Callithrix jacchus: one gene and its partner. The protein of the gene in region 2 purifies or fractionates together with the protein of the main gene of each other region. This does not show direct contact. Links are inferred from orthologs where the notes say so. Each region holds a gene or a part of one and is shown on either strand. Other genes may lie near its edges. The genes, in order: ARHGAP26 and PKN3.

Region 1 (4,533 bases), on a different chromosome or scaffold from region 2:
TTAAGTTGTACTGGCAAAAAACTTCTGTTTATAGACATAAAAAACATGACTGAAGAAAATAATACACAAACATTAATATAGTATACAATGTAGCAAGCATCTCATGATATCGGAATGCCTGAAATCTGCAGATACAATGGTTGACTCCACCCTCTATATTAAGAGGTCATGTGACCTGATCAAGAAGTAGTAGTGGTAGAATAAAGTAGTAGAGCTGGATATAGAGAACAGAACACCTAGTTCCCCATCAGTCTTTTCTCCAGGTTACAAGGCTGATCCATTCCATTAGACAGCTTAAATAACCCTTCACTCTATCGCTGCAATGTTTCTTCCTATCAAAGAATTCTTGACCCCCCCAAAATACTAATAGGCTGCCAGTCACCCAAATGCACCCTCCTCAAATTCAAGGCCAAAATAGAAAATACAAGTCCAAATTCTATAACTTGGCCCACAAGGTTCCATTCTAGGCAAGTGAGATGGGGCAGAAGTAAAAGCTCTGTATTGGCAGGGATTCCATCTCTGGCTCAAACCAGGTGGGTTCAAAAGCTCTAGCTCTGCTGTTGAAGCTTTGTGACTCAGAGGTAGTGCTCCCCCCAGCCCCTGTTTTCTCATTTGCAAAATGAATATAAGCACATGAGATAATTATAGGTGAAGCAGTGCCTGGCATGAAGTACACCTCCGTAAGCATAGGAGCAGCAAAATATTCATTCCTACATCCTTAGTGTCCAGTGCAGTGCCCAGCACACCACAGGCACACCAAACGTTTGCTGAGTGAAGCAGTGAACCCACTAAATCCAGCCTGAGATTCAATCAAAATTCCTGGGCCCAACCTGTAAGTGAGCCCCTAACTTACTCCAAACCAGGGACCCAAGTCCCCTAAACCAAGGATGGCCTTGATCATTGACAAAGGAAGAGTCTGTTCATATGCTTGAAGTAAGGCACAGCCTGAGAATCTGCCTCTAAGAAGCCTCATACATCACAGTCTGTGTTCGTTTCATCCCAAAAGATTGGCACTTTGGGCTGCCCTGGCATTCCATTGTCTCTCTCTTCATTTTTATAAGCAACAAGCTGACAAAATAACATTTCAGGCACCTGACTTTAGTAAACGCCCTTTAAAAAGGCCTGGGAACAATTCTCACAGCTAGGACTCTACTCTGCTAAGGCAACCTTTCTTAGCTGAAAGGTATCACCTACTAAGAAATCCATCATAGAAACAGATAAAGTAAGAGAGTCAGAGACAATTCCACTATCTGCCTTCATGTGGTTCCTAATTCCCAAAACTAAAAGATGGACTGAGCTATTTTTAAATGAGGAGACTGAAAAGGCACCAAAAACGTTCTCACAATCCAAAGCACTCATCCCTAGAGCACGCTTATTTGGCCAGAAAAAGAAACTCTCTGGCTCTGCAAAAGTGAAGCAGAATGCAAAATTGCATCTCTCCCCTTGTACCAAAAGGGAAAAACACAAAAATGGCTTCACAAAAGGTCCAATAATCTTTGAAATAAGTTTTTTCTGAGGACTATGGGCATTCCTTCTCACACCTTTACGTTTTCAAGGATAACGGGAAAGGTAAAAAGGAGAGCTTGGGAGCAGGCGAGGGAGAGAGTTGGGATATGTTCACTCTATTTTTAAATCCTCGCCCACAGTTTAGAGTAAAGGAACACTCTGCTTCTCTACTCCCACCCCTATCACCTTCTGCTAAACACAAGAATCAGAACCTGCACACGTACTGATTCTAGATTTAGAGATTACTGGCTGCCAATACTCCAGGGATCGCAAGCTAACCAAGCATTCCACCCAGGGAACCTGGTGGCCGGACTAGGCTGGAGCTGCGTGCAGAGAGTGAAGCAGTCACAACCCGCCTTTTCCCAAGGGGAGGCAGCGCCCCCTCGGCAGGCACGCTCCGTATTCACGGCTGGGCACCCAGGGCTGAGCAATTCTGCCCCTAAGGGAGCTGGAGCTGAGGACGCGATGAGATCTGCCCGCAGGCTGCGGCGCGCTGGGCACTCTGGCCCCACTCCTGGGACACCTGCGTGCCGCACACGCCCACGACCACCCGTGCTCGGTCACCTCCCGGCCAACCCCGAACGCAAAAGGCGTAGCGACGGGTCTCTTTCTTCATCTGATGGTTGGTGGTCCGCCTGCTTTCCGTATCCTTCCTGCCTCGGAGGCGTCGACACCCGTCCCCCAGTGTACCGGGGGCAGAACCCCTGAGGACGCTCGAGCGACCCGGGTTAAGCGCCACCTCCCCGTCCCTCCCGCCCCGGGGCCGCGTCCCCGCGGGGCTCGGGACACTCACTCTTGAGCGCGCTGATGAGTGACTTCCCGTCCTTAATGAGCTCCTTGATGAATTTGTTGGTCTTGTCCAGCTCTGCTTCGTGGGACTTGAGCGTCTCTCGGAAGTGCGGGCTATCGAGGCAGCAGTCGCTGAACTCCAGCGCTGGGAGCCCCATGGTGCCCGCGGCGCCCAGCCGGAGGGCGCGCCTCCTCCGGGGTCCCGGCCTCCCGCCGCCCAAAGCACGCACGCGGCGGGACCCCGGCCGGCTCCCCCGACTGCCGCCGGCTCCACAGGTGTGGCGCCGGCTCGCCCCCAACGCGGTGTAGCCGGCTAGCACAACTCCCGAACCCACCCGGGACCCGGACGAGGGGCGGCTGCTCCGGGAGCGCGCGATGGAACGGCTCGCGAGCAGGAAATGCAGCGCGGACCCGCAGCGGCGCCGGGAAGCGAGCGAGCGAGCGGGCGAGCGAGTGCAGACGCCGCCTCCCCGACTCCTTCGCTAGCTACCTCTCGGCAGCCTCGAGCGCCCTCTCACAGAAGCCTCGGCCGCCCCGCCGGCGTCTGGGCCACTCGAACCTGCTAGCGATGACTTAATCCCCGCCGGGCCAATCAGCGCGCCCTCCCTTGCCCGACCCTCTTGGCCACCCCAGGACGCCCGGCCCTTCCGCGGCTTGATCCAATCAAAGGGGCCTGGAGGCAGGGTCTGCGGCTGGGGGCGTGGCTCTCGCCAACGCCTAGGTCCGCAGCGCAAGCTCCGCCTCCTCTCGCCCTCCGGGCGCTGCACACCCTGAAACCTCAGGGTGAGCGCTGCAGTGCACGCCCCCCACCCACCTTGCCCGCCTGCTCCGGCCCGAATCCGAGCCGCAGATGGCGAGTCTGCTGGTCCTGGGGGCCGAGGAGCTTGGATGTGCCAAGCATGAAAAAATCTGGGAATTAGGGCTGCAGTTCACCACCGCCTGCCCTGCACTGCTGGGCAACCGATTTTACCCTCAAAATACAGTCCCCTGTCCCGGGAGAATCCCAAGCGACCAAACCCTCCTCTTTCAGTCAGGCAGAAAAATGTTACTTGCATCTTAAAATTACCAGCTCTAGCAGCTCTTCTTGCCTGCAGTCTTTCCACCCACTATGGTCCGTCCCCCTCACCGCCACTCCTGCTCAGAACCCGCCCACGGCCCCCCCGCCCCCCACCCGGCCGAAGGAGCTCACAGCCATCCTTACGAGAATTTCAGCCGCCTGTTATTTTCCTGCCCTGCATCTAGCACAATTTTACATAATTCTGTCCACTGCTTACACGGTAAGCGCCACGAGGGCAAGTGCCACTTCAATTTTCTTGTCCGCTGTTGCATCCCGGCACCTAGCACAGTGGCTGGCATTTAATAACAGATATTGAGCGCTTACTATGTGCTATGTGTGCTACGGTGATTGGTAAGTGTTTGTGGAATAAATGAATGGATCCTTCCCCAGAGCCATCTCCACCTCCCATGCCCAGTGCATTGCCCTGTAATCCCTCTGTTCGACTGCAGGACTCAGTTCTGGCATCTCACTCGTTGCACTTGTCAGACTGCGTCCCACAGAGTGTCTAGTGCTAAATTGTGAACTCCTGGAGGATAGCGACTGTCCTTGAATAAATTATTTCTATGTCTAGGAACTAGCAGCCATTTCAGCTACGTGGGGGTTTCGTATTTGTTTGGGTTGGTTTGTTTTTTAACTAGGTCTGATATGTGCAGGCACTAACCTAAATGGTAAGGACACAAAGAGGAGTAACAGAATGAATTTAGCTGCTGGTGGTCAGTAGGAGAGATGGAAGCAAACAAGGAATAACCATGCCTTGTGATAGGATAGAAGGCCTGGATGCTTGGAAACATGGATTTTTCACTCAGGAGGGGTCAGAGGTATCCCATCTATATTAAGAAAGTAACTGATTTATTAAATTCATAAATGGAGCACGGTGGCTCACACCTGTAATCCATTGCTTTTGGAGGTCAGGCGAGAGGATTGCTTGGAGTCAGGAGTTCAAGACCAGCTTGGACAACATAGTGACACCCCCGTCTCTACAAAAAATTGTAAAATAAATAAGTAAATGTATAAATGAGTTAATGTGATCTGTTTGATAATTGTATCTACAAAGTTAGACTTGATAGCAGGCCCAGACAGTTATTTGATAGATAATTACAACCCAAAAATAATTGTTCTTCACTTGCCAATGATGAGAAAGATCTAGAATGAAAACCCTATGAAAGTAAATCTGTTCAGTG
Region 2 (3,640 bases):
AGCGCAACCACCCACTCTTTGTGGTCTACCTGGTGCTGCAGCTGCTGGTGCTTCTGTGGGGCCTCTATCTGGCATGGTAGGTGCTGCCCGGGGTGTGGGGAGAGGGTGGGATGCATGCTTCCAAAGGGGTGGACAGAGCCAGGGCTCCCAGGGACCCTGCACAGGGAGGGAAGAGCTCCCCAGCCCTCCCCAACAGCAGGCCCCTGTTCCCGGCACCGCAGGTCAGGCCTCCGGTTCTTCCAGCCCTGGGGGCTGTGGCTTCGGTCCAGCGGGCTCCTGTTTGCCACCTTCCTGCTGCTGTCCCTCTTCTCATTGGTGGCCAGCCTGCTCCTTGCCTCGCACCTCTACCTGGTGGCCAGCAACACCACCACCTGGGAGTTCATGTCCTCACACCGCATCACCTATCTCCGCCAGCGCCCCGACAACCCCTTCGACCAGGGCCTGACCCGCAACCTGGCCCACTTCTTCTGCGGATGGCCCTCGGGATCCTGGGAGACCCTCTGGGCTGAGGAGGAGGAGGAGGGCAGCAGCCCAGCTGTTTAGGGTCGCTGGAGGCCGGGCTGCCGTCTAGTGCCTGAAAACCACAGGGCCTGTTCCCAGCTGGTGTCAGCCCTCGGAGGGCCTGGGGCCCTCTTCCTGCCCACTCCTCAGGCCCCAGAATGGAGCTTCAAGACAGACAGATCCCTGCCTCAGTGGGCGGTTCTGCCTTCCAAGGAAGAAGGGGAAGACCTGTGGGCAGCTCAGGCCCAAACGGACCTCAGGCTCCACCCCAGCCCAACCCAGCCCAGGCTGCCGCCAGTGTACATGTATGAATTTAATAATCTATAAAGCAAGTTAAATCCTAAAAAGACAAATCGTATCACTCCTCACTGTGGTACCCTTTCTGGGCCAGGTCTCACTGGGAGGTAAAGGAGGACAAGCTGGAGGGGGAGGGAACACACTTTGCCCAGGGACACTGAGCAAAGCCCACGACAGCAGACCCATGGCTGCCACCTTGAGTCCCAAGGCTCATAAATGCCAAGCAAGTCCTGGGCCTCCAGGCAGGGCCTCCAGACAGGTGGGTGAGCAGAGGCTCTAACAGTCTGTGGGGGTAGGAGGCAGAGGTGCCACGAGACGCCCTCAGGGCTCCAGGAATTGCTCTGACACAAAATCGAAGTCCCGGAAGGCAGCCTGTTGGCGGGCAGTGAGGGGGCTGTGGGGTGCAGGTGGGGTCAGGGCAGGCGGCAGCCCTGTGAATTCATCCTCAAAGTAGCGCAGGTCCGCAGGGCCACAGAGGGTGGGCACAAAAGGGGGCTGGACGGTGCGGGCAAGCAGGGCCTGCCAGTTGGTGGTCTGGAGGAAAAGGAGAGGTGCCTGAGATGGCGGGAATGTCAACCCCAGGAGTCACTCCATGCCACCCACCCTGCCAGGCACAGGGGACCACTGCCACCCCAGCCGCTCACCCTGAAGAATGGCTGGACCTTGATCTCCTCAGCATCCTGCTCCCCCGCCCCGAGGCGCTTCTCCGGGCACTTCTGGAGGAGCTGGGCAATAGGATAGGCGCTCACTTAGGGCATTCAGCCCCAGGCACCGCCACCATCCACAGGCCCCAAGCGCGCTGGCCCAGAGGGCTCCAAGGATGGGTGTCAGGGGGTCTGCTGTCCCATGGAAGAGGGCACACGGGCCTTGAGTGGCCATCCAGCCCAGTCCCAGCCCCTGCAGTACTTACCTTCTGAATGAGCTCAAGCCCTTGCACTGACAGAAAGCCGGGGTAGGGGGCATCGGTGTTCACGATGCAATCAAACACCTCCTCCTCAGTGTCTCCTGGGAACGGGCACTGTGGAGATGGGGCTCAGCAGGATGCACGGGGCCCCTCCACCCCAACCCAGAGGCCCAGGCAGCACACTCCAGCACTCACCTCGCCCACCAGCATCTCGTAGAGCAGCACGCCCAGCCCCCACCAGTCCACAGCCCGAGTATACGCCTCCTGTGTCAGGACCTCGGGAGCCAGAAACTCCGGGGTGCCACAGAAGGTGCTAGTCCGGTCCCCAAAGCCAATCCCTGCAAACCAACACACACACCAATAGCTGCTTGCTGTGGCCTATTCACAAAAACCTCAACGGCCAAGCCTTATGATGCAGGAAGCTGAGCCTATGCCAAGCCCTGCCCTGTACCCAAGGAAGTGGGAATGTTTACGCCGCCATTCAACTGCAGGCTCACAGGCTAAGGTCACAGGAGGCAGAACTCAGGCTCCTCTCCCAGCCCTAACCACAGGCTTTCCCTCAGGCCAAAGGCAGGCCGGGGATCTCTACGAACTTCTAGGGCTGGGAAGAAAGGGACAGCGTGCCCAGCTGTCCCATGGAATGAGGTCTGGGGTGGGGGAACCAGGGCATCTGTGGATGGGGAGATTTCCTGGGAGATGCCATGTGCCCATAATCCTGTTGGCCAGGCTTGGTAGACGAGACTGGAGATGTGGATCCCAATGGGCGGCCCCCACCTTCCTTGCAGAGTCCAAAGTCTGCGATCTTCAGAAATCCCTGAGCATCCAGCAGAAGATTATCCAACTTCAGATCCCTGAGGGCAAGGGTGCAGGTCAAAGGGGATGGGCAGGGCTTAGACCCAGGGAACAGCAACTGCTCCTGGAGCAGCCCAGACAGGAGGGAGGTGGTATCTTAGTTCTCATCCACCCCACCGCCACCCCCAGGCATCCCTGGACAAAAGTCACCTGTAAATGATCTTCTTCTCATGTAAGAACTGCAGCCCCAGGACAACACAAGCCAGGTAGAAGCTGCAGGGGTGGTTATGAAAGAACTCAGGACGGAGGCAGGGCAGGGAGGCACCAGGATGTCCCAGCCAGAGTCAGAGGTGAGTGAGACTGGGACAAGCATCATGCTCAGGTTGGGGGTGCTCCAACAGTCCCAAGGTCACCCCAAGGTTGCTGTGCACTCCCACCCCACCCTTCCTGGGCTGAGGGCCAAGTGTGCACACAGCGCCCTGCAGTTGATTTTTATAATCATGCCTACTTTTCTTTTCTTTTTTTTTTTTGTTCTGTTACCAGCCTGGAGGGCAGTGGTATGATCTCAGCTCACTGCAACCTCCGCCTCCCAGGTTGAAGCGATTCTCCTGCCTCAGCCTCCCGAGTAGCTAGAAATACAAGTGCCCACCACCATGCCCAGCTAATTTTTTTTTTTTTGTATTTTTAGTAGAGATGTGGTTTCACCGTGTTAGCCAGGATGGTCTCAATCTCTTGACTTCATGCTCTGTCCACCTCCGCCTCCCAAAGTGCTGGAATTACAGGCATGAGCCACCGCACCCAGCCTTGTTTTTTTTTTTTTTTTTTTTGAAACGGAGTCTCACTCTGTCACCCAGGCTGTGCAGTGGCAGGATCTTGGCTCACTGCAACCTCTGCCTCCTAGGTTTAAGCGATTCTCCTGCCTCAGCCTCCCAAGTAGCTGGGACTACAGGCATGCACCACCATGCCTGGATAATTTTTATATTTTTAGTAGAGACACAGTTTCGCCATGTTGGCCAGGATGGTCATGAACTCCTGACCTCAGGTGATCTGCCTGCATCAGCCTCCCTAAGTGCTGGGATTTCAGGTACCTGGCCAATCATGCCTATTTTTCTTTTTTTGGTGGGGACACAGTTTCACTCTTGTTGC

What was found.
Region 1: the proteins of PKN3 (region 2) and ARHGAP26 purify together in Homo sapiens (affinity purification with mass spectrometry; 3 studies listed by BioGRID and IntAct, with this or other methods). This does not show direct contact. The link is inferred for Callithrix jacchus from reciprocal best matches to the Homo sapiens genes PKN3 and ARHGAP26.

The regions. Positions count from the first base shown.
Region 1 is NC_133503.1:41,210,637-41,215,169, reverse strand, and holds the start of ARHGAP26 (rho GTPase-activating protein 26), read right to left. Parts: upstream 2,842-4,533; 5' UTR 2,454-2,841; coding exon 2,300-2,453; intron 1-2,299. UniProt on the Homo sapiens protein: GTPase-activating protein for RHOA and CDC42. Facilitates mitochondrial quality control by promoting Parkin-mediated recruitment of autophagosomes to damaged mitochondria.
Region 2 is NC_133502.1:177,319,467-177,323,106, reverse strand, and holds the end of PKN3 (serine/threonine-protein kinase N3), read right to left. Parts: intron 2,768-3,640; coding exon 2,705-2,767; intron 2,554-2,704; coding exon 2,477-2,553; intron 2,041-2,476; coding exon 1,898-2,040; intron 1,817-1,897; coding exon 1,709-1,816; intron 1,524-1,708; coding exon 1,443-1,523; intron 1,336-1,442; coding exon of another isoform or gene 1,333-1,335; coding exon 1,120-1,332; 3' UTR 800-1,119; downstream 1-799. Other genes in the region: palmitoyltransferase ZDHHC12, read left to right, coding at 1-76, 222-543.